Linked DNA regions of Alligator mississippiensis. The protein of the gene in region 2 purifies or fractionates together with the protein of the main gene of each other region. This does not show direct contact. Links are inferred from orthologs where the notes say so. Each region holds a gene or a part of one and is shown on either strand. Other genes may lie near its edges.

Region 1 (15,510 bases), on a different chromosome or scaffold from region 2:
CTTTACCTGCAGCAACGTTGGAGGCCATGGTGTGTGTTTGAGATGCCTCACTTGTGAGATATGACGCCCCAGGCTCCGATGCACGCTACAGCACTCATCACAAATTAAAATCCCCCGGTTTATTGATGCCCAACAAGGGTCTGGAAAAGAGTTACACATGTTATAACACGGAGACAAACAAGTTCAATGGTAAAATGCTACTCCTGGTTTTCTAATTTATTTGCTATATGAACTTGGGCAAATCACAACCTTCGCAGACCTCAAGATGTTGGAGGAAGAATGGGTCTTGTATGTAAAGCGCTATATTGGGTTTCAGGAGATCTGGGTTTTATTTCAGCCTGCCACACACTTAAGACCTTGAAGAAAACCACTCTGTGGCCTCAGTTGCTCATTTGTAAATAGGACCCCCTGTCTTCCTCATATCAGATCCATTGTAAGGCTAAAACTAAGCAGTTCCCAGATACTGCTGTGATGAGTTCCAAAGAAATGCCAGTAAAGAGCAAATTCCTACCCTGCTATCACAGGAAACTATATCACATAATTCCCTTAATACACTTAACAAGTTCCTTAAAACCAACCAGATTTCTTGCCTTATTATTCCTACTAGACAGCTACTGCTGCAAACCATTTGCAAATTGTTCACTCTTATAATTGAACATATTCAGCTATCACTCAATACTGGCCACTTGGTCACCCCTGGTTGAGCAAATAACCCTCACAATTCATGGCACAAGTAGATTTTAGTAGAGATTTGGAAAAAAAAATCCTACTGAAAACTGGTAATTTAGAAAATGCTATCTATGAATGAAAAGTAGCGTTAATGAAAGCAGGCAGACATTTTTGGTAGAAGTTGTCAAGTATTCATCAAAGCTTTGCATCAGTGGCAGAGGAAAGGAGTGATTTAAAAACTGAACCTGATGCAGTGGAACCAGAACGAAAGTGGAAGGATTCAAACAGGGGACTGTCATGGTAGCACAAATGAGCCAAGGCGACGTTCTTTGCAACTGATGAGTGTTGGAAAGGTCAGACAGGAAATGGACACAATCACTAATACATGGACCTACTTATGGGCCCAAATAAGAGCTTGAGAGGACTGAAGTGTTAGGTCTGGAAGTTTTTGGAAGGAAGCATCAGGATTTTCACAAACCTGGATGTGCCAGGACCAGGAAGATGGAGGAGTGGGAGAAACACTACAGGTAAAAGGCCTGAATCACTAGTAAAAGGGGAATTGATAGCATGTGCTGAGAAAAGAAATGGTTAAGAATTTAATTTGCCTTAGGAGTTACTGGATTAACTAAAGGTGTTACTTCAAACAGATATAGTTAAAAATCACACACAAAAAAGAAGCGCTGCCTTTTAAATTCAATTTAAACACAGTTTATACAAGTTATCTTAAGCTTGGGGGACAGCAAGTCCCAGGCAGGCCACAGATAAGAGGTGGAGATGTCAACTTACACTAAACAGATAAGTGAGGTTTAAATTGATTTAAGTGTCTACACCATGTCTTGCTCTCATTTAACAAACCTGTTTGGGGTTTTTTCCCCTCATTTAATTTACAAACAGCCTTGAACAACTTTAAAATTCTTTTGATTAAACACTGGATATAGACAAGTTTAAATTGATGGCAAGATATTAAGGAAGATACAGTGGGGGAAGAGAGGGCAAGACAAGTTCTGCTATGCTTTCAGTAGCACTAGAGAAGAATTCAAAACAGGAAGTAAGACATGATCAAGACAAACTTGCTAGTTGTTATCAACAGACTTTGAAAAGTGAATCGTACGATTATACAGAATGCAAAGTGTGCTGATAAAGGACACAGCATCGCCTCATGTCAAAACGAACAAGTAGGGATGGAGTGTTTTGTGGCCACGATTAGCCAAGAGATATGCAAGAAGCAAGGTTTTTTGGGTGATAGCTTTAATTAGATTAACTGTACAAACTTGTATACAGCTGGTTCAATAAAAGATATCACCAAAAACATTTGCTTTTTGCCGTACAAATGTAAGATATTATTTTGAGGGGTTTATAAGGCATGAGTGAACAATTATTTGTCAAAACTAAACAAAGGAAAAATGGGCCAGGGAAAAAACAAACTGCTGTACAGAAATTCAAGCAATACTGTGGTAGTGATAAGTCCCTCTATGTTCAATACATTTAAGCAGCGTAAAAGCAGCTTTACAATAGAATTAGGATAGGACTGATAACATGGGACATATGGTTGTGACATTAATTACTGGGTAAGAAGAAGGGTAGAGTTGTGGATATATCAACTCTGGAATCTTCATTTATGATGCTAAGAAACTGAATACAGTAAATCCTATTTTCCAGAGTCTTTATCACCTAAGGAAAATGGAGATTAACCCAGGGGAAGAAGGTGGGCATCCATTTGTTTTTACAAAACTTTTGAGTATTCAGTGTTTACCTGTATAATATAATCTTGTAATTTATTTTGGTGTTACATCTGTCACACCATTGATCTTGAAAGAAGCACAGCACAACACAAAACACAGAGCATGAACTGCATAAACCTGAGAAAGATGATTTATAAGCTGGGGTAGAAAAGATTATTATGAGTAGATATAAATGAAAGAATGACAAATATATCTGAAGTTTAAAAAGAGAGCGTGCCTTCTGGCATTCTAAAAATCGTTTTTAAATAAAGTTTTCAGAGTTTCCCCAGTTAGTCATTTGGACCAGTCTTCTGACTTATGTGCATAGCTTTACCCATTTGAGTTGTTTTATTAAAGTTAACAGGACTGCCCAAAGTACAGCTACACATGTACATAATTACTTGCAGGACTGAGGCCTAGAAGTATTTCTAAATATTCCAAAAGCCAGCTCAGCTAAGGTGACTTGAAGTCAGCATCACTAGTCTAGTGCAGGAATCCTCTCCAGCAAAACCAAGAAGAAACTGACTAATCTAATGTCCCTATTCAAACCTCAATGAAATGTAACATACACCACAACAGAATCAACTCATTTAAAAATTGAGACTCTTCAGTTTTAACAATTCCTTTTGCTATTAATGTCACTGAATATGTTAATTTTATCTTGCTGATGCCCCTTAAATAAAAAGTACTCAACTATGTAAAACACCACAGCGCTAAAATTAAGCAGATGTCATCAACCTGCGACTAATGAAATCCAGAAATCCAAGCATAAATTCAATAATTGTAAACTGCAAGTTGTGTTAAAGGGCAACAGCTGTCAATAAATTCTTTGTTCCTGGATGCAAATTCAGTGTTTATCCAGTTTGCAAAGCAAACGTCTCATTCCAATAAAGGATGGAATTGCTGGTGGAATATTCGGATTTTATAGAAATTAGATTCATGTTTAAAAGGAAATTCAACAAATCTCATTGTCATTTCTAAGCTCACTATCAGAGGGGTAACTCTACGAATAATCTCTTGCTATGCTAAATACCAATACTTCTGCGCTGGATGTTATTTTAGGCCATCTCACTTGCTGGAACACAACTCTCCTCTGTGCTTGCTCAGCCTTCAAGTCTATAGGTCACTAACACACAAAATGAGATACAGCCCACACTTGTTTTAAAGGGACAGTGAACAATACTTAGCACTCTTAAAATTAGTGGACCCCTCAATTGGAGCTACAGGGAATATTGCTGGAACTCACATTTTCTGATATTTTGAAGCAGAAATTAGGACTATGTATTAGACTCTGGAAACCTTGTCAATAAACCTGACTAAGGGATCAGCTTATTAAAACACTGCCCTACATTATTTCTTTTCTAACTAGTGTAGGAGAGACACCATGACAGAACACTGCCAACAAGCTCCTGACCACGCTGAACCTCCATCCTATGAATGCTGAAATTCACCTCCAACAAAGCCCACAGGATTCTGGCCTTTTTTCTTACAGTTTGACAACTCACAGATGGCTTATCATGCCAGTCATGTATTTAACTGAGTTGTCTAGAAGTGAAACTCTCTTGAGCCAGTACTGACACACAGGAAAGTGCAAAAAGGAAGCACAAAAAACAAAAAGTAAGATTACAATTCTAAAATTCTTCCATGTTAATACTATAAACATTTTAAACACAGGTATGGGAATGCACTGAAAAGGGGGACTTATCTGGACAGCATCCTTATAAGAGGAGTCACAGAATTAATTGTGCCATGATTGTTTAAACGGTTTGGTAAATTCCACTTATATCCATATTAGATAAGTGCAAAACTCCTTTAAGCGTATAACATGATGCCAGTCTTAACATTCATCCTAGCGCTTGTATTGCAACAAGCACTTAACATCACTTATCTGCACAGGTCAGCACAAGCAGCACTTATCTGTATACGGATAGATGTGTAAACCCACCAAAGTCCACAGGAACTCTTCAGCGTTGCTGTCTGTTTTGACCTGGGACTGCGTTTCCTTTCCTGGCATCACTGAACTGGGAGTCACCAATTCCCAGGCCTCTTCTTCTCTCCTATCCTTCATTTCCCCCTTTACACATCATTAATGTGGCCGAGCCACACAACTGCTTTATCACTGACGCTTCCCAGGTCCTCATCCTGGTGTGCGGGCGCGCTACACACGGGAGGAGTGGGTCAGCAGATTCACATATTGGACTATCCTTTAAACCAGTGGTTCTTAACCTTTTTTGTACCAGGACCCATTTGTCAACGTCGACGGTCAATTCTGACCCAGTACCTCTGGGGCAGGGAGTGGGTGTGTGGGGCACGTGGGTCCACAAGCAGCCCTCCGCAGCCTGCGAGGGAAAAGCCAAAGCTTCCCACATTTTTCCCCTTTAAAGGAGAATCCATTTTAAAAGTTTGCATGCAACCCTTTCGTATATTCTTGCGACCCAAGCCAAACTTATAAGGCGCGGCTCCGGAGCAAATCCCGTTTCATTTAATCCACAAGTTGCGGGGCAGCTCGTACGCGGGCTGAGGACGATTCTCCTCTCCAGCGCTTTGATCTCATCCCGCTTACCGTGGTGTTGCTCAAGCGCCCCTAGGCCGCTGCGTGCGTTGCACGTGCCCGTTTTGGGTGTTTACGCCTCACGCGGCTGCGTTTCTTAGCGATTTGTATAGGGCGCGCTCACTCTCTGCTGTCAATTGGACGCTCTTTTAATTGCCGTTTGACTTCTAGAGTCTCTCAGACGCTATATAAAGTGCGCGCGGTACAGCCTCCACCCCGATGCTGTTTTAATTGCCGTTTGCCCTGCACGCTCTCGCTAAACACGACACAAAACGTGCGTGTATAGCCTCCACACTGGGAACACTCCTTTAATGAGCGTTTTACTTCCATATTCGCACTCAGCGCTGTATCAAGCGTGCGTGGTGTCGCCTGCACACGGTCCGTGCTCTTGTACTTGCATTTTCTCACGGCGCGCACACCTCGGCCGGGCCCTGCCGCCGCGCCCGGGCTGCGAGCTGTCGCGGGGCAGTGGCTCCTGGACCCCGAGTCTGGGCAAGCGCCCCCGTCCCCCCGCCACGAGCGCGGGTGCAGGGCAAGCCCGGGAGCACCGTGCTTGGGCCGTTAAGATGAAGGCGTGGTTGTGTTTGTTTCGGTGAGAAGGCAGGTGAAGCGTCCCCCAGGTGTGCGGGCGCGGGCCCCCCCGCTGCAGGCCGCGCTTGCCTGAGGGGAGCTGAGGGAAACCCACCTCCCGGCACTTGCACCACCCCCCGCGCCTACCCTGAGCGCTGCAGTCGGCGCACACCTCGCTGCTCCTCAGCCGCTTCGACATGCCGGCGCGGGCGGGTGGCGGGCGCGGGGTAGGGGGGGCTGGGGCCGCTTCCTGCCGCCCTCACGGGGCCCGGCCAGCAACAGGCCGCACTGCGCAGGCGCACACCAGCGCCGCCATTCAGCAAGCCGCTGGGGCCGGTGCGCGCGCGCGTAGGGCAGGGAGGTGCTCGTCACGTGACAAGTGGAGGGAAGGGAGTGAGGCGACTCAGGAGCCATCTTAGCTCCTGGCACCCGCGTAAGTGGGGCAGGGGGAAAACCGCGGCTGCCCTCACCCAAGATGGCCGCCGAGGCGCTTGGGCGAGAAGGGCCGCCCGGCCCTTATTCAAAGAGGCTGTTAGGAACTTGCCCTCACCCAAAATGGCGGCGCCGGCCACCCGGAAGTCTTAGAAAGGCGGAAGTAGCCGATGAAACCGACGCTTGGGTGCGGGCGCGGGTGGGGAAGCGGCTTCCGCCGCGGGCAGTTCCCTTGGGGAAGTACAGCAGGGTGACGAGCTGCCTCCCTCCCTCCCTCCGCCCGCGGGCAGCGCCGAGCACTGATTCCTCTTTCCCTTGTGGAGTGGAGTGCAGTGCGGGGCCGGCTATGGCAGCCGACGAGGGCCCCTCGCCGCGGGGCCCGCTGATTCGTTCCGGCCCCTGCCCGGGAGAGGAAAGTTAGACGGGGACAGGCGGAGGAGGGGGCTGGGGGAGCCCCGGGGGGGGGTGTCTCTGGGGGTCCCTGAGACGGGGGGGGGGGAGGTTTGAGGGTGCCTGAGGCAGGGGGAGGGTGCCTGAAGTGTGTGTGTGTGTGTGTGGGGGGGGGGGGGTCTCTGAGGGTGCCTGAGGTGTGGGGGTGCTGAGGCTGAGGGGCCTGGGTGCGTGTGTTTGGGGAGGTGAGTGCAAGCAGGGTGTCTGCCCCCCCTCCCCCCGGCCAGGGCTGGGGGTGCCAAGCAGGGGAGAGCAGGGCCCTCGGGAGCGCCAGGCAGCAGGATGAGTTCGCCGGGCAAAGCCAGCAGCAAGTACCCGCTGCACGTCTTGGTGTGGAATAACGACTACCGGCGGCTGGATGCGGAGCTACGCGAGCAGGTAACGAGCGTCCCGTGACGCACCCTCCCCGGGGACGCGGCCGGGTAGCGTAGCGATGCGTGGGACCGTCGGGCTGTTGGGGCTGCCGACGCACTATCGGTGATGAGAAGGGGCCGTTACGGGCAGGCACCGAGAATATGTCTGCAGAGATATCGCCGAACTTGTTAAATGCCGTCTGCTGATCTTGGGTGGGGAGGGTTGGGCTTGGACCCGGAGCCAAAAAACACACAGATGCGATGGGCCTTAATGCTGTCTGCTGAGAGAGGGCCACCGCAAGCCGTGCGCGGCGACCGGTCTGCCGGGACCTGAGCAAAACTTTTTTTTTCTCGGCATGGCGTGCCCGGGCAACCAGTAGCTCACTGAAAACTGCTGCTGTTTTCCTCGCACGCTCTTGAATCGTTCTCTGCCCTCCTCTCCACTGATGGATGCTATGATTTTTGTTTTGCAAAGTCAGTCCTTGCAGGTTAGAATACAAACGTCCCTTTTTCAAGCGTAGTTCTTTGAGCTTTCCAGGTGGAGACTTAGGGTCTCAATAGCTGAGTATGTTTGCTCCGGTGACAAAACGTACGTGATCGTCTTAAACCACCCAAATCTGGTAGGGCAGGTGTAAAGTGGGCACACTATTAGCATTAAAATACAGACAGAAATGGGTTCGAAATCTGTATCGGAGCCCAAGCAGTTGAAATGATCCAGTTGTTGAGTTCAGATATTGCCATTACTGAATTCCAGTGCAGCTCCAAATACTGAGATATACTTTATTAATACACAGCTAAACAGCTGGGATTTGTGGCACGGGGCACCAGTTGGCAGACACATAGCCTGTTAATTGTATTGTTCCTGATACAGTGGGTCCATGCACCGAGTGTCAGACAGTGTCACCTTGTGATGCTAATTAGGATGATTGTCTGCACTTTGCTGGTGCATTCTGAAATGCTAATATTTGTGTAAAGCTTGCTTAGGTCGTCTTTTTTTCTTCTTTCTTTGAGTGACTCTTTAGGATGCTGTGTACTGTATCTCTAATTCTTATAATCTTCAGTCTGTCTGCAATATTTCTTTTACTGACACATTGGTTAGGGTGCTCGTTTCTTTATGTTTAAATCTTTATTAAAATAATGTTACCGTCTTTTAAACAGTTGTACCTTAACTGGGAATATTTTAGCGCTAGTTTATTCTGGTGATTTGCATCGTTGTAATTATGGCAATGCAAGCAGGTCCAGCTTCCTGCCCCCAGTGCTCTACAGCGCAAGTAAATGGACTACATTTAAAGGAAGGGAAAGAATACATGCACTAAGCTTGAAGTGTCTTCTTTAAATCAAAGATGTCACTTCTGCATCCTCTGTTCAAACTGCTTCTTGTATGGGACAGATGTGCTGTGTGTGGCAGAGGTATTGAAGGAAACTCTAGCCAGCCTCATGAAATGACTAATGCAATGCACAGTTCCAGGTTAACAGCAGAAGAGAAATGAAGATAACTGATCCAGAATCCTTGTTTTCACTGCATTAGGCACTACAGCTTGGAGAAACTGAGTGAAGATCGCAAGGGCTGCTGTACTTAATCACAGCAGCGAGAGATGAGGATGCTGTAATTCAAACTTTCCTTACTCTTCGATCTTGGTGTTTCAGACTTAATGCTGTCAGATAACCATTTCAATTTGCATAATATTCCTATCTTATTCCACTATTGACTTTTCCCCTTTTCCTTTAGTTATAGATCTTCTTCTGTTTCAGATCTCTAAAGCTAGTAGTGAAAAATAGAAGTAAGGTATGAGTATGTTGTGCTTGCATGTTTTGGGTATTTATGCCTCATGTGGTTGCATTTCTTAGTGATTTGTATAGAATGCACTCACTCTCCATTGTCCTGTGTGTCTCAGTCAAACTGATGCTCTTTTAATTGCCATTTTACTTCCATATTCTCACTAAATGCTATACAAAACGTGCATTGTATAGCCTATCACTCACTTCTGTGATTTTTGGCTGATTTAATGTTTTGTATGTCATGATACCCTCTAGTGGCCACTTTAACTGGTGACTAAATAAATCAAAGTTACAAAGTACAGAGAATGGAACCCTGCCATTTCCTGAAAAAATTGTGCCTGCAGATCAGGAGGGGGGAGGAACCTCATATAGAGCTGGCTGCTTTCTCTGCCTCCCAACACCCCCTTTTCCTCTTACTCCCAATCACTTTTAAAAGAGTCCAGTCCTATTCCAATTGGATTTCTGTGAAAGCCAGGCTTGTAAGAGGACAATTAGGCAATTCAACAGGGGTATCAAAGCAAGTCATATAAGATAAAGTGACTGCAAACCATGAATGGTTCTGTAAGAATACATAATGCATACTGACCCATTGTAGCTTATCGCTGAAAAGCTTTGTATTATCTGTCCTTGGTGTCTTCTGGTGATGGGGTTTGATTGAATGGTCTCAGCATCATTTACCTCTTGGTTGTTCAACAGGATGTTGATCAACGGGATCCACGAGGCCGGACCTTGCTGCACCTTGCTGTTTCCTTGGGATACATAGAGTCTGCCAAAGTCCTCCTTCGACACAAGGCAGATGTTACCAAAGAGAATGCCCAGGGATGGACTGGTAAGAGATTAGATTGCAAGTGGAAATTGTCTGTTAATAACCTTTGCGTTAAACCCAGCACCTCTGAAATCTGGCCCTGTGTGTGTCGTCATGGACGTTGCATGGCTTGTCTGCAACATGCGTGTTGTAGGCGTTCTGCTTTTTGGCTAAAAACAAAAAATGCACCCACCTCCGTGTTTGGGCTTCTTTCAGTTTTGCATGAGGCTGTCAGCACAGGAGACCCAGAAATGGTACACATGATTCTGCAGCATCGGGACTACCAGCAAACCTCAATGACACTTGGAGGGGTTCCCGAATTACTCCAAAAGATTAATGAGGTAAATATTTAATGAAACCTGAGTTGCAGGCTGGTCAAGTGCCCTTTTGGGAGCTGCTAGTTTGGTGTCAGTTAACTTAAATCAGCTTGGGGATCGGAATCAATTGATCTTAAGTCAGGATGATGGGCTATTCAATTCAAAATTACCTCTCCATTAACTCCATGTAAATCCGTAGTAACTTAATTAAGATGGGTACAGTGGAAAAGTGTTAAACTATTGCAGGACAATGTCTTGTTGTATGCCACCTTATTTTGATTAAATGTACTGGTAAGTTTTATCTGGGTAAATGTCACTGTGGGTGTTGTCAGTGACATCTCAGCCTCAAATGTTTCTTCTTTCTTAAATGTATATGACAAGTCAGAGCTAAATACTGAGTTAATATTCTCTCCATTTTTGGCTTATTTGAAACACCCATTTTTATGCTAGACTCCTGACTTCTACGTGGAAATGAAATGGGAATTCACTAGTTGGGGTAAGTGTCTTCTACAACCTCTCTTACCTCTTGTAACCAGTAGAAATGCATGCGAGTTTCAGACTTGTTGAAGTAAAAAAGTAGGTTTGCAAAGAAAATATGTATGTAGAACCTTTACTTTCTTCCTTTCTCTCAAAGTTTGTTAAGCATGAAAGATTTCCAGCCTATTTTTCCTGCTATATAAGCTGTTAGATCTTTGTTAATGCCTTTTTTTTTTTAATTGAACCCTATGGCACTTATGTTGGTGGTTGCTGAAGCTTTTCTAAGGATTTAGCTGTCCCAGTGCTTCGTCATACATAAGGTGATGAGGCAAAACTTATGTGGTGGTGCCAACCAATTTAGGAAGCAGTTTATTCCTTCCCGTTGCAAAACTGATTATGTGCATTATGGGTGACTTCTCTTTCTTCCCAACCACTGAGTATTCACCATTGCTGGACAGAGGACAAAAAAATAGCTACAATTAATTATTTTATTTAGTGTCTCATGTCTTGCCATGTTCACCATAAGTGGGGAATCAATTCTGATAGTTCCTCTGTTCTTTGTTTAGGTATCAAAAAACAAACTAAACCAAGAAAGACAGAGGTTCATAGCTCTTGGGACTGAAAGGGATCATTTTGATGATCTACTTTGACCTCTTGTGTAATGCAAGCCATAAAATTTCTTTAAGGAATTCCTGGATCAAGACTAGAACTTCTGGTTTGAGTTTGATCCTCCTACTCCTTTCTTTTCTGCTAAGGAATTTTACATTTGAATCTCTGTCTTTTTCTTTATAGTCCCACTGGTTTCCAGAGTATGTCCAAGTGATATCTGCCGCATCTGGAAAAGTGGTGCCAAGCTTCGAGTTGATATCACGTTATTAGGCTTTGAAAATATGAGTTGGGAACGAGGAAAACGTAGTTTAATTTTCAAGGGAGAAGGTGAGTATTTTTAGCCTGTCTCATTTATTGACTGTCAGACAGCATGAGGCCTACAATATTTTTCAGAGTACATGTTATAATGCTCAGCTTTATTTTCACATCTTTCACAGACTTCTTCATGCTGAGAAGTGCTCCATCTGGCATTTCAAGTTTCTAAGCAGAACAGAAGGGCTGAATTTTCCTTCACAAATTCTTCTGGAGCAAATATAGGAAATCAGATTAAAACTTAACTTTAGAACCACAGAAATAAGCATTCAGCTACATTATAGATAGATATATATATTTCCCAAATGTATTAGGGTCTTTTAATTCTACTTTTCAAATTACTCTTAAAAATGACTTGGCCACCTACATAATCTGCTCATCCATCCTTACTAAGATCATAGTGGTACTTAAACAAATCTATCACTTGTCCCAGACAAATGCAAACCTGACAAAGTTTCCTTTGTCCTCACTTTCATCCCTTGTGTGAGTCCTGGATACCTCTTTACTGAAAGTTTGTAAAATCTAGTCAATTATATCTATTCTTTCAACAGATACTGGAGGCTGGGCAGAGCTAATTGAGATAAACCATGATGATAAGGTTGTCACAACAGAGCGTTTTGAAATCTCCCAACAAATGAAGCGTTTGACATTGGGCTCTATGACTCCAAAAAGGAAGGATGTGGAAAGACGCCTTACATCTCCTATTATTAATACTTGCCTTGATACAAAAAACATTGCTTTTGAAAGGTAAGATATTTAAGCTTTTCTTAATGAACAAATCCTCCACCTATGCAGGATTATGCTTGCAGTATAACTTTAAAAAAAGAATCTTGTAATAGATTATCTTGGAAGTAACCTAGAATAATACCCTAAACTGCATATTCCATTCTGTAGAGAATGAGCTGAAAATCATAACATTTACTTCTGGCCTTGCAAACGGTTTCCATTTGGTGAAGAGTCCTTTTGCACTGTAACACTTGCATTTCTACATTAATGGGGCCAGTTTTAATATCTTCTGGTTTCAGAAATATACACTTAATTGCCAACACAGCAAGAACGAACCATATGTGCAGTGCTGACGCTAGTTCACAGTCTGTGGGCTGACGTTGAGGATCCAATAATAAAGTTTACAGCTTCAGTTTTGACTTTGAGCTTGATTGATTTTTAGCTTAGTCCTATGTAAATGATAGTAATAACTGTACTAATACTGATAGAGAAGATACTAGTTTGATAGTAGAAGCACAGGAGCTACTTCAGTGCTGCACCTTTTTGGAGTGTTATGGGGTATGACAATACACTTAAGTATTGCTGTGGGAACATTGATTAACTTCAAGGCAAAAGTATTTATTAAAACATGGTGCAGAATTACAGCCAGTGTGAAAGATCAGCTGTCAAAGCTCATTGCTTCATTCTATTGGATGTGTGAAGATTTTCTTCCTTGAGTGCTACTTGGGGAATAAAATTAAAACAAAAAAGCCTCCAAATCCTAAGTCCTGCTAAAAGCCAGTGAATTTTAGACACGCCAACATTTACATTGTTTGTGAAAACCACCCTAAAGCTTACTGACAGCAATCAGCCTGGCTTCCCAGTTTCCAGCTGCAAGTTGCCAGATAAAATTAAGCTAGCATTGACTCTGACAGTTGTTCAGTGGTTCAGGAGAGGATGTGATGCTATCCAGAAACTCCAGTTCCTTGTGGCTCGAGCTTTCCTGTTACAATCAGCCTGCTAAATATTAGCCTCTGCACTTCCATGGAGATATGAATAAGAACAGAAATGGACTCAGACTCATTTTTCGGCCTTAGATTGGAGAAAGATGTTTGTGTTTGTTGTACCTGTTTTCTGGGGCTTTGTCTAGTATCTTGCAAACACTGTTTGGCTGAAACATCATTAGAGAAAACATGGGTTGGAGGATAAATAGATATGGCAAGTTGTATATAGATACTTGCGGTGTTCACTTTTTATCAGAACTACATCTGGATTCTGGGTATGGAGGACAGAGAAAGCAGAAGGTGTAAATGGTTATGAAGCAAAGGTAAGAATCAGTTCTTTACAACTAAGAGGTCTAAAGCTAATTGGAGTGCGAATGTGATTGTTCAATATTCCCTGAGTATCTTAGCGTTAAAATCTTCCTTTAATGTCCACAACCGTCTTGATTTGCCACATAAACTGATAGGGTGTGAGACATTTCAGATGGGATGCCAAATACCCAGGAGCTTTGCCTGTGGTTGGGGATTGAAACAAGTGCTGGGAGGTGGGGATAGTGCCAAAAGAAGACGGGGGGAGGCTGGGAGGGATGTGGGCAAATGGCTCTGATCACAAGAGCGTTTCCCTCCAGAATGCGGAGCTCAGCTATTACTTTAGAGTCTCAGCATTCTCACAGTGTCAGAAAGCAGTAGAACCCATCAGCAAAATGTCATCGCTAGCCTTTTGCTGTTACAAGTTCCTTCAGTAGCTCTATTAGAGTAAGACCGGCACGGATCTAGAGTTTGTCTTTCCAATGAGCCATATGGGGGGGAGGTTAGCATGCTTCCATATGATGGAATTCCCCCCGCTCTGATTTTAGTTTCTCAGAAGTTAGAAATACCAGGTCCTGCGTGACCTTACTTCACCATTTTGTGCATGTACATTAAGACATACTTTCTAATTACATGATCAGCTGTACTCTGGATATGTAAATTGCTAAAAACTTTGAGAAGCTTATGTTTTGTTTTTTCCAAATTGGACATACACAGTCAGTCAAGGTGTTTTACTTTAATCTCTGGTTTATTTGCCCATGTGAATAGACATAACGATAACACCCACAAAGACCCTTCTCATCAAGGCATGGGAAGGGAACTTCTCCGGTGTTTGTAAACAAATTGGGCACTACAGTGAGAGCACCACTGATCTTTAAGACAGCTCTGTTTAGTGCCAAGTGGGAACCATGCTCAATGAATCATGGAAGGAGGTCACATACTGAAAGATGAAGATAAAAACAGGCATGGGATACATATGATGAGCACCCTCCAGCCTATGCGCTGACTGAAGTGGGGTCCTGTGCAAAGAGGGGGATCATATGTGATCATATAAGAAGGACGTACCATGATGCATATGCACGAGAAAACAAATGTAAGACCCAGAGGCAACCTTAATTCTCTTGTTTCCTAACTTCCGAGTGCTTGGTTCTGCACCCCTGCTTCTCTTCTAACATGATAGAGGGGTGGTTTGTTTGTCTTGTAATATAATAGTTTGTCCAACTGTTCAACTGACCTGTGTGAAACCAAAGTTGCATTGAATGTCTGGCATGACCAAAGACCTACACAAATGACACCATCTTACTGAGTGAGCCTGCTTTGCTTTGATTCAAACCTAGGTTTTACTGTTATTAGCCCTGCAGAACCACTAAGTGGAGGATCTCAAATTCTTTGTGGCTCTGCCTGAGGCACCTTCCGTAGCCTGCCTTCCTCCAAAGCAGCCCTGGCATGGGGGGTTCATCAGTAAGGCCGAGGCAGCTGCCCACTTGTCAATCGAAATAAACATGAAATCCCTTTACAAGGAGCTAAGGCCTCTCCAGTATTGCAGAGGGCTCAGTCCCATTCCAGTTGAAATCAGCGGGGAAACTTCTTTGACTGCTGGTGGTGTAGGATTGTTCTGAAATGTCTGGAGCCAACTAGTTTCTTTATCATGTGATTCCAGATAGTCTCTTGTAAGTCTAGCAGCCTGCCCAGCAGATGGCTGTCTCGTCCAGTTTTAGCACAGGACTGTTGTCAGGATTCATGACGCATAATACTTTCTGCACTTCAGAGCTGAAAAAGAATCAGTTAAATAGTCACATTGGACACTTTCCCCTTGGTCTCTGATATGGTGAAGGTGGGCAGATTCTTGCTTCTCCCCCCAGTTTCTTTTAGGTTTTGTCCTTGGTGTTTGGGCTTCTTTAAAGATGTCCTTCTTTTTTTCTTGGTCTCTTTTATACATATTTTTTCCTTTTCTTTTATGAAAAGGTCTATACAGCAAACAATGTGAATGTAGTAACACGGATCCGAACAGAGCATTTGACGGAGGAGGAAAAGAAAAGATACAAAGGTAATTTTCCCAGCGGTGGCTTGAAACTGAACAGAACCTCGTGCTGCTTTTGTGCATTGGGTGGCATGTGGAGTAATCAGCCTGGCTAACGAAAGCATCTTGCTTGCATTTGAGCCTCCCCTGCCAAATAATACGTGCTGTGGGCTCCTGGGGGAGGGTAGAGTTCTTACCTGGTTCTGAAGTAAATCCAGATGTAAATAAGGATTACTGTCATAGTCTTGATTCCATTTGATGGGAGCAAGTGTCTGGAAAACTTGGTTCAGTTTTTTGTGTGAACTCCAGAAGGTGGAACCCTATTTGCACATTCATTATCTGTCCTGCTTATTGCCTGCCCTGACAGCCTGGTCAGACCTTTACTTCATGCTGGTTTCCCTTTACACTGGCTAAAGTTGCAAGATGCCCA
Region 2 (15,501 bases):
GTTTCAATAAATCAACATTTTCAGACCAAAAAACATTTTAATGAGTGCCCAACCAGTTAATTTCAAGTCCAAGTCATTGCAAACTAAGATCCTTGTAGTATATCTTTAGAACAAGGATAAACCATTCTGCCTCAGCCACCAACACCAGGGAGGTGTGGAAGAAAAGTGATTTTTCCATAAGTTGGTCACCCCACCCTCTAACTTGTGCACTTCCAGGGACTTTTTCCAAGAGAAAGTCTTAGAGGGTGAAACAATTAACAAAAATATGCACCCTTCCAGAAACAGCTCCATTTATTTAATGCACCTGCTGTACAGTATTTCCTTTAGAAAAAGGAACATTAAAAAAAGGCAAGAGGATATTAGGAAGAAGGAAATCTTCCCTATGGCAAAAAATAGATTTCTGAAATAAGCCCCAATACACTGGACCAGATGTCTGAACCATGGTGACTTGCCCCATCAAAAACCTCTGAAACCATATCTGCTGACAGTTGCAAGCTAGTGGGTGTGTTTAAACTTGTGGTTGCACAGTGAGTCAGACATTAATGCAGTACCCTCACCTTAACAGGAAGGAAAAAATTTCAGAAACATTTAAAGACTGCATAGTAATTTCAGAAACATTTAGAGACTGCATCACTAAAACATCAGCCAGCTGCCCTTATTCTTGCTCACTTCAGCAGTCATTGCAGGAGAAAAAGACTGTATTATATCAAAGTATATCTAACACCACAATATACTACTTTTTAAAATGTATTTCAGTCTGTCAAAAACACTTCCTGGTCCCCTACTTTGAGCCACATTTCATCAAAATTATTTAGATAAACCTGACAAATAAAACATTTGATCATACAATGAAATATTGAATATGCTTGCATGTACTTATTACTAGGATGACAGGCAATTTCAGAAAGCCCCAAGAAAAACAGAGATGCTAACTGTAGAATATTAACTCAATACTGTTTATCAAATGCCAGCCCACAAGTCACTAATAGAACATATCAGATTCTTCAAATAACCAACAAAATATCAAATCTGAAATATGCAACTGGTGGTCCAAACATCAAACCTGAAAGATCAGACCCATGTCTTCTGGCTTGCTTCAAAGCAAACATACCATCAATACCTTTCCCTTTCCAGAGGGGATCTCTAACTTGTGAATGGATTTAACCATTGTCATTCTATGAAGTCACATTACTATTGTTATGACATTAGGAGCCATAGCCAGAACCACTGAAGTGGTGATCTCAATGTACCAGGCAATGTACAAACATGTAAGTCACAGACCATATCCCACAAGGCTTACATTAGACAAGCCAAGTACTAAGGGAAACAGGGAGAGAGAAGAAAGCTGGCTTATCAAATGCCACAGACGTAACAAAGGCTCCCAAGTCCCTGCCGTGCCCTATTTCTTCAACTACAGTAAGACCAAGGTATTTTTTCCCATTAATTGCCATCACTTGTATTTCAGATTGGCATTGAACACCAGCAGCACCATTGAACACTCTGCATTTGCTTCACCAGGTTCCCAGACCCTGTACCTGTAATAAGTATAAAATATATCTTACGACAGAAGTAGACGCAGAAAAAGAACACGGTTGACTTCATTAACTCATGGACGTAAGAACTGCTCCGATTCAAGAATCAAACGTAACAACAGTTTGTTGGCAACAGGCAACTGCTAATTTTCCAGGACAATATAATATATTTCAATAACAAGCCAATACCTCCCATTCAAGTATGTAACCCTGAGTAAACCTGCCTCCGCAAAAGAAAAGTTGGCAGGCCCTGTAGCTAAATTCAACCATAAACTATAAATGATCTTCTGGAATAAAATACCTGAAAGGGAGGAAAGCATTTATCTATACCCATTCATGACAAGCATGCTTTAAAATGTATTTTGTGACAAGAAACAATGAGAGACTCCCAAGCTACTCTCTTTTCAATCAAATCCCTTCAAGCACAGTTCTGCCCCGATGTTAATAAGTAGCAAGCTAATTGGTTTTAAAAACTGAAAATCTGGGCATCAACAACAGAACAACATAGTTACCAAGTCCTTCATTTATCCCATTTGTTAGCCTCCAATGGCAAACTAACTCCAATTAGATCCATTTTTTAAAGGAGAAAATGGTCTATTTACTAACACAACCCTGGGAAATACATAATAGGTTATCCACATAGGTGAACTGGTTACAATGCTTCTAAGCACTGTAATAGGTAACTAGCAGTTTAAATAGTGTGTTTTTCTCCATGAACCTGAAAATGCTTTATAAAGGTAATTAAACGCATTTACTTTGAAAGGAGCTTCAATATTCCACCCTACCTCTGACAAGCAGCCCATCTGCTTGGTCTAAAAAGACTTTAAGAGGCGTTTATTCCAGGGAGGGTGACAAATCGGGGCCAGTAAAGAGTATGTACAGGTTGGCCCGAACACCTGGGCCTCACGGACATGGTCCTGGGCTCACGGCCTGCAAGGCCTGCCCGTACATTCTAGACTAAAAACCATAGTGAGCAAAAGGACTATTGGTCTAAAAAGAAAAAGGAAGCCTAGCCATCAATTGATGCAGAATTTTTTCAATAAAGTTCATAGCTCTAACAGTTGCAAAGTGGGAGTGTAAATATTGTTTAAAAAATTATCCCTTTTACCACCTCCAATGAACTATTGGTTAACCATTTAACCAACAAGTGACCTCCAGCAGGAATAGCCCCAGCCCCTTATGCCAAGCCACTGGCAGGGAGCTAAGGGCAGAAGTCAGCGGGCACAGCGGAGCCACTAGGGGCCACTGCCCAGCTGCAGAGCCACAGCCTATCCTCACCCCCCTGAGCAGGAACTCTCCTATGCCCAGATTCCACCGCCACAGGGAGGGAGGTGCCCCCAAAAGGGGCCAGGTAGGGTCTTCCCAACACAGCAGTAAGACTCCTGGCCCCATGGTGGGTCTGTCCAGCCCCCCTGCAGTAGTGAAGCCCAGGTAGGGCAACGGGTTCCTTGAACCTCCTACCGCTGTGCCCCAGACTTGGAAGGCTCCTCCGTGCTGACAAGCCAGGCTCTCCCCAGCTTTCCCTGGAGGAGGGGGGTCCAGTCCCAGTGGGGCAGCCTTCACCAAGTGTGCTGTATTCTTCCTTCTGGGGAGGGCCTGGCCCCACATCTCTGAGGAGCCTTCTTTGTCCAGTCTGCAGTGATGGGAGCTACTGGGAGCCCATTGCCTTGCCCAGGTCCTGCTGCTGCAGGGGGGGGCGGCAGAACCACCATGGGACCAGGAGTCTCTGTTAATTATACAGTACTGCTTTCTGGGAACACAAGTACAAGCATTAGTCAGAGGAGAAGAGGAACCAAGAGGACTGAGGAGGGGAAGGAGTACTGAAGACTTAATCCCCTCCCCCAGCCTCTACAGGAAGGGTACAGAAGCAGAAGTATACTTGCAACAAGATGCCTCAGAGGTGCTGGTGAGACAGGAAGTTTCTTCCTCAGCAGCAAGAGGTGATACTTGCCAGAAGCCAATACAAAATATGGAGAACACCAGCATGGTTTATAAAAGAGACTCCTAGCAAGAATCCCACTAACTTCTCCCTCTTCAACGGGAAAAGACAAGTACAATAGTGCTGCTCGGAAACCTTGCTGGTAGGGACCCCCATCTTTGTATCAGCCTTTGGCAAGGAAGTGTGAAATTTTAAAGGCTAGATGATAAACCCACTGCCCAGCTGGAAGGACAAAGAAAGGATTTGTATAAGGATATAACAGGTCAGATGAACAGCTGGGAACAGCAGTCACATCTCCCCATGACAGGCTACACAAGTATAAACTGAATACAGGCAGCAAAGGGACCAATCAGCATCTAGTTAGACTAGCATAATTAAGACTTGCTATGAAACTTTGCTTTAAGATATCAACCTTGAGCAATGTAAAGTCTTAAAGTTAAAAACTTAAAGGCTTAAAGATCAGTGCCACTCAATAAGGCAATGATCCAATCTTCAACTAGTTCACTGACTGAACTAATCTCATTTTAATGTCAGAACCTTTAGCACATCCTACTACTTTAACTAACATGCAAGAATTAAGCATGCTTTCTTTTCATCATACAACAGATACAACCGACCCCACCCATACACACTTAAGTATTATGAGTCCTTCACTCTGTAACGTTTGCACTGGCAATTTTTATTTGCAATTTATCAGCTACCCTTGTTTATTGCACAGTAATATCTTCCAGACTCCACCAGACAACCACAGATTTGTTCTTGAGAATCCAACTCAGCTTACATTTCCAAGAAATGCCTTCTAGTTAAAATGGGAAAGGTTCAAAAGGACAGTCAGCTTTCTGTATTCTTTTGGAACCACCCTGTTGGTCCAAAGTGAGTCTGTTTTCACACGGAAAAAGATGATTGAAATTGTTCACAGTAAGTTTCTAGACTGAATGAACTCTTGAATAAAAAGCCTGACAAGTGCCTCTCAATTTGTTTTTTCCCCTACTAGAACTGTCAACAGTATATTTAATTGACCTTAAAATATTTGTACAGTGCTGATCCAGTCATTGGCACTTGACAAGACATGTATAACTATAGTTATATGACTTCATATTTTACAGAACTCTGAAATACCTTGGAAGGAACCTGTCAGAGGGGCTTGGAACAATCCTCAGCCATGCATTTCTCAATGAATGTGTCCAAACTATAAATCAATCTATCTAGACATTGCTCCACACAGCATCTGAGTCATCCTACAAAACAGCCTTTGCAAAAACTTGTTTACACACCTGAACTATTTCTTACAAACTTCCTCCACTCCTCACAGGGGTCTGAGCTGCTAATGAATATTAAGGATCTTTGACTTATGCCAGGGACCTCTCTTCTACACCAGCTCCATGCCCTGCTATCCTTCTTTTTTTCTCCCTACCTGTCCATTTCAATCAGACAAGACTATTTATAAGGTGCTGCTTGGGTCCCAGCCCAAGACCCCAACAGCTGGCATCTTCACACAAGTAACTACTGGACCAGGTTCTTCATTTGACATGGCCCTACAGCGAACTTTCTACCCAAAAAGTGACGATGAAGGCAGAGATGAAAGAAAATGAGAAGGGAATGAGGCCAAACCAAACCAAAAATATCTCTAAGTCAGACCTGTGCAACCTCTCATACCCCTAAATAAATGACTGGCAGTAGCTAGGACCATACCTGTCATCTTCAATATTTACAAAGAAGTATTTTAAATGCACGTGTTTAAAAAAAAGCATATTATTTAAGGACTGACATTTTAAACAGAGCAAAAGTCTACTTTTTTTAAGGTAAGGATTCAGTCAGTGCCATAAAGCTTAATATTGCCATACATGGTCAAAGCACTAGTCTATGTAATTCACTCTCCCATTTCCTACAGAGAAAATACCACCTGTTCCAGAGGAAAAAACTCCCCAGAAGGGCATTTGCAAGATAACTGCATGTGTGCAGTTTCCTCCCAGCCAATCAGCTTCTAATCACTGTGGGTTAGCACTGCACAGAACAGCAAGCAGTTACAATACCAAGACTTCTGACGTGGTTCTGCCTTAGCACCCAAGATGTATTAGCTGACACTTGCACACTCAGGATATTATTCATTAAACCAACCAAGCTTCTTAACAAGCAAGCCTACACGTAGCCTAGCTCAGAGTTAAGAAGCCACAGAGAACATAACCTGCTGTTTCACAAGTGCATCCAAAAAAAATGAAATACTCAAGTACAATACACTTTTCCTTCCTCTAAAAACAGGGCTGCCAAACATGACCCATGAAGCTGTTCTACCCAGCCCTCTGGGCCACCAGAAAATGGGGATGTGGCTAGGGGGAATGGCCCGCTGCAGAACCTGGGGCACTTGCCCGTGGTGAACTTGGTGATGAAGCAGCAGGAGGCTGGACTAGGGCAGATACGGCCTCCTTACTCCTCCAACCACTTTGCTGTTCAGCACTGCTGCATGCCCCAGATCAGAGCTGGAGCTGCCACCTTTGCAGGGGGCATGGAGCAGCATCAGTGGGGGAAGCAACCCCAGCTCTAGAATGGGGCGTGTGTCAGGAGCTGGAGCTGCTGCTGCCATGGGCCCCAGGTCAGAGCCAGAACTACTGGCACTGTGTACCCCAGGCTAGATCTGGCCTGCAAGGAGCCCCACAGCCTGGATCCAGCCCAGAGCACAGGGGAGTTTGACACCCCTCCTCTAAAACAAGAGGGAGAGCTTTTTAATTAACCTTTAAAGACTTTACTCATGCACAACTCAAGAAGAGTAGCTCTGGGGTTTCTGCACTGCCCTCCTCAATCAGTCATGCTAGGCTGCGACAGAGGAATGACAGCCCTTCTAGCCCTAGGGAAGGGGTCAGCACCATTGTCTGGCAGCGCCAAAATGACCCAGTACAGGTGAAGCACTGGCCACCCTGCAGCAACAGCCGGGCACGGCCCCGCCACCCAGGCCCCTGCTCGGCAGGCAGCTCTGCCCCACGGCTAGCACCTGCTCTATCACATCACCCAGATCTGAGGCCAAGTTCAATTCTCTGCTCCACGAGTGAAATAACTTCCGCGGCAGCTCAGCCTTAAGCAAGCACCCCTGCCCCGCGCGGGAAGCCAGGCAAGGACTGCAGCCCACAGCGGGAGCCGTTCAGCCCAGACTTTCTCCTCCGTCACAAACTCCTCCCTCCCCTGCCCTGCCCTGGCCCGGCGGCCAGGCAACAAGAGCAGCCCCGGGCTCCACGCAGCGCTGGGCCGGGCAGTGGGGCAGGACAGACACACGGACCCGGCCGGCGCCCCGCAGTCGAAAGGAAGCAGAGCGGGAAGAGGGCGGCGGCGGCGGCCCGGCAGCGGCCCCAGCTCTGGGGAGCCGTCCCACGCGTGTCCCGCCCGCACCTGCTGCAGCCATGCACACGCGGGCACCCCGGGGGGCTTCGCTCCACAGCCCCCCGGCGCCCCCGCTTTGTCCCGGTGCGGGAGCGCCCCGCCCCCCCGCAGGCCGTTGGTCGCACACGTGACTTCCCCTCCCTCCCCCCCCGGACAGGGGCGCGGGCAGGTGGGAGCCCCCCGCCGACTCACCGGCAGCGCCCGGGGCTCCCGCCTCCGGGAGGCCGCCGAGGGGGCGCTGGGGCGGGTCGGGGCGGGAACCTGCTACAATGGCGGCGGCGGCGGGACCCACCGAGGCGGCGGCGGCCGGAGGGGGAAGCGGAACCGCCGCGCGTGGCCACAGCCCGGGAGGGGAAGGGGCGGGGCCGGCCGTGCGTCACCAGCGGAATGGGAGGAACTACGGTTCCCGACGTGCTGTGGGGCGCGAGAAGCCTACAACTCCCAGCGTGCACCGCGCGGGGGGGGGGGGAGAAGCAGGGGGCGCGAGGCCTGCTGGGGACTGGAGCCGGCAACTTTTGTCAGGTGACCGCGGTCCCAAGCGGCGGGAGCCCTCCCCCGTGACGTCACGAGGCCCGTGCTGCACCGGGCCCCACTGCCCGGGGGTCTGCACGCTTGGGCACGCCCGCACCCCTTCTGAAGGCTGAGCCATGGCCAGAGGATCATGGGCCTTATTGACGACCAAAAACGGCAATTTTCCCGTAGGAACGAGAATAAGTGTCAGAGCCTAACTCGGCCGGGGTTTCTGGTACACGGAAGCCCGGGATTCCCTGCCGGGGGGAAGGGGCAGCACTTCTCTCCCTGGCTTCGGGGCAGAGAGAAGGAGAAGACAGGCAGGGATTCACACAGGCCCCCAAAGGGCAAAATCATTACTACCGTCCCCCCATAGCAGGCCCTGCTAGCATCAGGCGAGGGCACGCAAGTTGCAAGGGTGCAAATCAAGCACCCGCAGTGACTAACGAGCCAGAGGAAGCAGCCAGCTGGTGATTGCACAGCACCCTACCAGCAGCTGGCAATTTGGGGTCCAGTGATTCCCACCCAGGGGCGACCAGCGATTCTCTCCCGTCAAGGGTGCCACATAACGTTAGCACCGCTAGATGTGGAAACTGGTTCATCAGATATCCCCAGCTAGGAGGGAGCCATGGTGTTAAAACCACTGTCACCCATTGTGGGCTTTGAGTTCTTTGCAAGAGAAGAACTGCTCCGCTTCTGCAGTCAGAAAACAAGTGCAAACTAAGCTGGCATTTTCCAAGGGGTGCCACGAGCCGAAAAGGGTTGAGAAGCCCTGTCAGAGACCTGTAGAGAGCTGACAGAGAGAGGTAGAGATGAAGGGGGAGCTCTCCTCATCTAAACTTGTGTCTAAAACCAATGACTTCTGCCTTCCTGAATTTCCTTTGAAACTGGATAGGTTTCCTCAATACTTACTTTGTTGATTCAAAAGCATTTACGCACTGTCTCCTTGGAATCCAGGCGTCTCTCTGAAATAAAAGACATGAGTGAGGTCATTTATTCTGGGTTTGTGACAGTTATGAAAGGATGTCTGGAGCACCAGGTGGTCACATTTCAAATTCCTGCAGATACACTTCACTCATCCTGCTTCTTGCCCTTAAGGTTTTGGAAGGAGCCAGTTCCTCTGTCACCATTGCTGAAGGCTTAACCCTTGCATTGCCCGTTAGGGCCTTGTGGTGCCTCAAGTGTGTAGACAACTGCTGGGCAGCTCACAGCTTAGTTTTCCATTCCTCTCTAAAGCAACTAAAGGGTCTTGGGGGAGAGTGGAGGCTCAAACACTGAAAATGGCAGCAGTGTACCTGTTGCCATCCTCCACTACTCATGGGGTAAATCACCACATCTTCCTACTGCCTTTATGTGGCAACAGAAGCAGCAACAACCATTTAGTCAGCAACCTACTGGTCAATCATGACTTGGCCAGAACCTGAATATGACCTCCCAGCCCACCCATGATTTGTAGGCCCATAAACCATGACAGGAGCCTGACTCCAGAGATTTTAACTGCACAGGTCTAGAAGCACTAAGTCTGCTTTATGTTTAGCTGACTTCCAGGACAGCTTTGAACAGCAGAGAGCACAACACTACTCAACACCACTATTCCTTCTTCCCGTTTCCCAAATTCCAAAGCAGCTGCCTTATTACTCCTTCACAAGTTGCCAGCAGATCAGGGGAAGTGATTATTCCCCTCTAATCAACACTGGTGAGGCCATATCTGAACTACTGTGTTCAGCTTTGTCTCCTCTCCCCTACAAAAAGGATGTGCACAAATTAGTCCAGCAGGAAACAACAAAAATGGCTAGAGGGCTGGAGCACATGATTTATGAGGAAAGGCTGAGGGAACTGGTTTTATTTAATCTGGAGAAGAGAAGACTGAGAGGGGATCTAATAGCAGCCTTTGACTACCTGAAAGTGCTTCCAAAGAGGATGGAGCTGGACTGTTCTCAGTGGTAGCAGATGACAGAACAAGGAAGGTCTCAAGTTGCAGCAAGGGAAGTCTAGGTTAGATATTAGGAAAAACTCTCTCACTAGGAAGGTAATAAAGCACTGGAACAGACTACCCAAAAAGGTTGTGGAATGTCCATCCTTAGGTTTTTAAGACTTGGCTAGACAAATTCTTGCCTGGGGATGGTCCTGCTTTGAGCAGGGGGTTGGACTAGATGACCTCCTATCATCCCTTCCAACCTTAATTTTCTATGATTTTATGATATGGCAGTCACCACAGTTCTCCAGGTATCAGTCATAATGGGAAACACTGGCACATTAGACATGCACAAAAACAAGAACTCCATTTAACTTAAAGACAGCCTTTTTTATGAAGGCACAGGTCAACAACCTATGGCCCATGAGTTGGATCCAACCCAGAGTCATTTTATCGAGTCATAGAGGTAGTATTCTGTAGCATTCCAGCACCCAAGGAGGCTTAGCCCATGCTGTGGACAGGTGGTGGGGAGAAACATCAGGGAGAAATGGTGGCAGAGGCATCTGGGTTGGAAGTGCTGGCCTGCCTCTGACTCAAAATGAGTTTTGGCCTGCTGCTTTTAAAGTGCCACGGACTGCTTTACTAAGGGAATATTTAAGAGTTCAGACATTTGGGGTGCATCCACACATGCAGACATGCATGCTTGCACCAGCTCAAATAGGACTGGCACAAATTTGAGCCGGGGATTTTTGCCTCGGTGCACGTGCCCAAACAAGCACTTTGGTGTGGGGCAAGTTGTGGCACTTGGGGCAAAATAACCCTGCCCAGCTCCTTCTGGATCTGCAGCCAGCACAGAAGCGACCCAGCGCAATGGCGCATGGGGCCCGTGCCCGCAGGACCCGGTCCAGTGCGACAGGCAGTCCCCATGAGTGGCATGGGGCCCCAGTTGACAGCCCAAGCAGTCCCAAACTGCCCAAAAGCGCACAGCACCAAGCTAGGCCACGCTCACGTGATATGGCAGAGGCAGTGTGGATGCCAGGCGGCCAGGGACAAGCAGCACTGCCCCTACTGCCCCACACCATGTGGGGAGGTTGTGCCACGAGGCTTCCAGCGCACCCGATCACCACTGCTGCTGCTAGTAAGCTGCAGGGGGGCTGGGGCTGGGCAGGGGACACGTGAGCCCTGTGGGGGGCAGGCGGGAGACCCACCCCTCCCGAGCTGCCCCTCAATGGTCCCTCGCACCCTCAATAGTCCCCCCCCCGCTCCTTTAGGCCCCCACACCCCCTACTTACCTGGAACATAGCCCGGATCCAGGTCACAGCAGCCTGCACCGCTGTTTGCCTTGCACTCTGGCTGGCTATCAGAGCATCTCTGTGGAAGAGCCAAGCTTTCAGTTGCCTGCCCCACTTTTTTCCCCCCAGGGTATTTTTTGATACCTGGATCTACATGTATCAAATTCTGACCCTGCACTGCAAATATGCAGTGCAGGAAATTTTTTTTGGTCCCAGCGTGCCTCTTGCATCATCTCAAACTGATTTGGGACACTGCGACAGGCACATGCACACTGAGCTGGATGCATCCTTGGAATCCAAAATGCTACCATTATTAGTATTGTCCCCTGGCTACTAAACTTGCTTAAACCTTCTAAAGATTAACCCTAATACTAATACCATGTTGTTAATTCCATAATTAAATTCCCATCTCTGCTAGAAATTCAGAAATAAAAAAGCCTTTTTGCTAAGAAAAGCAGAAGTGCTCCATTTCTCTCGGACTAAACATTGAAATAATTGCCATAACCATTAGAAAAGCTAAGAAGTATATCCAGCTGCATGCTACATATGCACCAATAAACCAGGATCTAACTAAACTGCAGTCAGGGGAGGATCCAGGGGGCATGGGGAGTGAGTGCAGTGGTGCAGTTGCACTCCCCTTTGATTTCTTCTCCATTCAAACTTTAAGACAAACTGCATAGGAGAGAGGGCAGAATTTCTGTTCAGGCAGTACTGAGGGAGTCAAATGACTTCATGGCTCACTACAATGTACCTGATTCCTACTAATCTATCTTCACTCCACAAGCATTAGTGAACCTCTTTCCTTTTAAATGGTCTTGATTTCCATTAATCAAGTTATCCTTCCCTCTGCAATTTTGCTGTCTTTTAATTGTTCATGGTAATCTTTCTCTTCTATTTCATATGCCTGCAGACCATTTTTAGTTCTAGCTAAAACCCTTAAGTCAGACATAGAAATATTGCTTAGGCGAACATTAACTCAGGTGTGGAAATTACTGACAATGAAGTGTTGGCTAAACTATCAAGATGCTCAAGGCTACGTTTTGTTTAACAAATCTAAATAAGATGTACAATTAATTATAATGACTGCAAGACTACTAAAACAGAATTTTTGGACTATTTTGGCTTAGCTCATCTTGTTTTTTAAACTTAATATATAAGCTTGCATATTAGTATATATTCTAAAAATGTTATATTTGTTTTTGCTTTAATCTAGCTTTAATATAGCACTGGGTCTGCAGCACATTAGTAAATCTTTTAGTTTCTCTTTAACTGGAAAAAATACATGTTGTGTTCAAAGTGATGCTGAACCACACCACCTGAACCACCCTTTTCAAAATCCTAGATCTGCCTATCACTGTAAGTATGCCTAAATACTAGTTATTCATTTCATACAAACCATCAGCTTAAGGACAACAATGACTTTCACCTATGCAACTCATTGAAAGCAAAAAAGGCAGTCCCTCCTAGTTCAGTTTATAATCATGGACTCCATTCTACAGTCTTAGTACACTGTCATTACTTAAATGTCTCAACTATATGCTCCTTAAGTTTTACCACTCAAGGTATTTTTTTTCCGTTCTTCCAGAAACTGACCCATTTGTTTTCATTGCATGATGCTATCAGGCAGACTGACCCATTTAAAATGGTTCAGACTGAGATTTATCAGACATTAATGTGATTTTGAAAAAACAAAAGGAAGAAACATTTAAAAGAGAACCATCTGCCAAAGCTGGGCAGTATTTCATGATGGCACAAGTCCAAGGATCAGTCTGCAATATAAACCACATGTGTGGATAGAAAATAGCACAAAAACACACTCAAATTTGGAAATTAAAAAATAAACAACCAAGGACAAATTAAACAATAGCTCAGAGCTGATTTTATCCCAGTCCAGCTGCTCAGATATGATTATCAGTTTCCCTTGCCAGCCACGGTTTTGCCAACCACAGTTTTGAGTATCCACACTTAATATTCTATATACCATTTTGGCTACCATGGTATACAGTTTTGAGTAACCACGGTTTTCCATGCCCACGCATCAGCCTGCCACCTGCCATTTCAAACAACCCGCGCTCTTGCTAGCCACTTGTGGCGCTCCCATCTCCTCACTCACACAGTCTCGCATTGTGCTTCACACTATTAACCATCCAGTTGCAGGTACTCTGCATTTGTCTTCCAATTTCTTTGAGATTTTTGCATTTTGCCCTTAATCATGGCCTCTAAGCAAGTGAGTGGTGAAGGTGAGCAATTTGTGAAGAGAGCAAGGAAAGTGATGTCCTTGGAAACAAAAGGAGTTGTTGAATCATCTAGCACATGTAGAGAGTCTGGCGAATATAAACAATGATTTTTATACATTGTATGTTCCTTTATTATTCATATTCAAGTCCCATACCCTATTTTTCCCATAACCCTTTTGTCTTACCAACCACGTTTTGCTATCCATGGAAACTTTTAGGAGCCTAACTCCCTCAGTTGGTGAGGGAAACCTGTAAATAGGTAACAAAGTCTATCTGCAATTCTTTTCTTTAACTTCTCCCTTTCCCCAAACAGATGCAAAAGGAGTTGTGAACTGAGGTAGTGCATGAAGTAGACACAGCCATCATCATCCAGCACTGAATTGAGGGAGAACAAGAAACCAGGGTTGGAGCACTTGTCAACCTGCAGTAGGAGAAGTCACAAGACGAGCTCTTTGAGTTTCAGCAGAAGATGAAGAATGATGCCCATGAGATCCTGAGGCTGTAGCTGTGGAAGATAATGAAAGGCTGATTTGGCTAATGAGATGACCATGTTGGTCAAATACAGGCCACACAAAGAAATATGACAAACAGAAGCTGAAGGCAGGGACTTTCTCTTTTTATTACATGTGTAATTTTATAAAAAGAACTACCTAGATTTAATAACCTTTTGCCATACAGGAAATAGAAGACTTCCCCACAATCATATTGTATGCTCACAATGCCCCCTACTGTCAAATAAAGCACAGAGCAGACATTTCTATTAACCTGGAGCCATTCAGTTTTTCCACCAATGAAGCAATTTCCTCTCTCTGTTTCCTGATATTTCTCAACAGTTCTAATGACTTCCCTCCAGTCTTCCGAACATTTGTTTCCAAGTCAGTACTGTTTCACTAGCTTTGAGAGTTATTCATCCGTCTTCTAATTCACACCATAAATATCTTGACATCTCTTCCAAATTTTTAATGCCAATTTCAAGTCACCTAAATGCAACTAACAGCATTCAATGTTCTATCAAACAGGGGTCAATTGTGTTTCACCCATGTAGAAATTCTTTCTTGTTCTATGGGTCTAGATCAAAAGAGCCATGATCTCAGAACGGACTTTAGGCACAACCATAACACAAACAAACAACAGTAAACTACACTCCACATATAGAGACTTTAATAGGAAACCAATACTCACTCTCAATCCATATGGCTTCATACAATAAGGCCATGTTTGGTTTCACTATGAGCAGTTCACCAGGAAGAAGTGACCATGTTTGCATACGGCTGCAAGAACCAGACTCAAACACAAGACTGTGGTAAGAAGTGTCACTGCACATACTAAGGAACTGTGTTGCTTGAGTCCCACTGGAACCTGCAGAATCAGTTCCTTATTTACCTATGAAGAGACAGGTGGGTGTTAAACCTATATAATCGTTACATTTTAACTGCTTCATATTTTCATTAGGTGTTATTTAAACAAGCATCATACTTGTTCATTCCATGCTTCTGAACAACCTCTGCTTCATTTAACAGCTCTGCTTGCTCAGGTTCTGTCACTAGTCATTTCAAAGGTTTTGCCTCTCCCCTGGTATTGAAATCCAGAAAGCAAACCTGAGAAGGCTGTTTCCCTACTTGCAGAGGTGCACCCCAAGAATCCCCCAGCAAAGGATTCCCTGGACACATGCATCATGTTGCCACATCCCATCTTAAGACAATGGGCAACATCTGTGTCACCCAATAAAGCAAGCCAGTTGTGTCAGGATGCATCTCAGCACAGCTGATCCCATTCCAAGGACAATGTCTGTTTAGAGCCTAAAGGAATAAGCTTATGGAATGAAAGCTCAGCTATCGGAGACCAGTAAAGGGAAAAAAAAAAGGAAGGTGTGTTCTTTTTTCACTTTTTATGATGCAGGAGAGCCTGAAAGACCTTTTAGCAAGAACAGTAATCATTTAAGACATGCCAAGAAGTCTTCCAACAAAACCAAAGAGCAAAGTTTGACATTCCTATTATTTCCCTGTTAAAAAGGGAGAGACTTCTTTTCCAAATAAAGTACAAGCCATAAAAAGATGCAAACTCTTTACCTTCTTCAAATTCTTTACTGATCACAGCCAGATTTCCTGAATACAACAAGTGTTTAAATCAGTGGTCTCAACCTTTTGGCCCACAGGACAGATGAAAGGGCCATAGCTGGTATGCATGACAGATGCAGCCCCACAGACACTGCCCCTCTGAGACTGGACCCCAGAGGGCCTGGCAACACCCCTTCCTGCTTGGATGGGACCCTGGGGGACACAGCACTGCCCCCTTCCAGCCTGGCAAACTAGGATTGAGCCCGAGAGGGCCTGGCACCACCCTCTTCCACTAGGATTGGGCCCCAGAAGCCTTGGCACCCTCCCCTCCCACTCCCACATGCCAGGATGGGGCCCTGGCACTGCCCCTCCAGCTGCCATCTGCCAGGATTGGACCCCACGGGCCTGGTGCCGCCTCCTCCTCCTCCTAGCCCCCGCACTGGGATTGGGCCCTGGGGCCCAACAGCAGTCCTGCACACTGGGATCAGGCAGCTGATTCAACATGCAGGGTCTGGGACTCCCCATGGGTCTGAAAACTCAGCAAACAAGGGAGCAGTGTCATTGCTCCCCCACTGCCAAATTTGTACCTGTGGGGAACCTCGCACACCAAATGACATGGTGCCATGGGCCAGATCTGCCCTGCAGGCTGG

Evidence for each region.
Region 1: the proteins of PAK2 (region 2) and GIT2 purify together in Homo sapiens (affinity purification with mass spectrometry; 3 studies listed by BioGRID and IntAct, with this or other methods). This does not show direct contact. The link is inferred for Alligator mississippiensis from reciprocal best matches to the Homo sapiens genes PAK2 and GIT2.

Annotation. Positions count from the first base shown.
Region 1 is NC_081833.1:2,078,211-2,093,720, reverse strand, and holds the start of GIT2 (ARF GTPase-activating protein GIT2), read right to left. Parts: upstream 5,772-15,510; 5' UTR 5,711-5,771; coding exon 5,659-5,710; intron 141-5,658; coding exon 7-140; intron 1-6. Other genes in the region: ANKRD13A (ankyrin repeat domain-containing protein 13A), read left to right, coding at 6,676-6,771, 9,222-9,354, 9,547-9,671, 10,098-10,143, 10,917-11,060, 11,597-11,792, 13,011-13,077, 15,026-15,107. UniProt on the Homo sapiens protein: GTPase-activating protein for ADP ribosylation factor family members, including ARF1.
Region 2 is NC_081830.1:36,757,504-36,773,004, forward strand, and holds the start of PAK2 (serine/threonine-protein kinase PAK 2), read right to left. Parts: upstream 7,213-15,501; 5' UTR 7,133-7,212; intron 7,127-7,132; exon of another isoform or gene 7,033-7,126; intron 6,938-7,032; exon of another isoform or gene 6,850-6,937; intron 1-6,849. Other genes in the region: PIGX (phosphatidylinositol-glycan biosynthesis class X protein), read right to left, coding at 14,022-14,177. UniProt on the Homo sapiens protein: Serine/threonine protein kinase that plays a role in a variety of different signaling pathways including cytoskeleton regulation, cell motility, cell cycle progression, apoptosis or proliferation.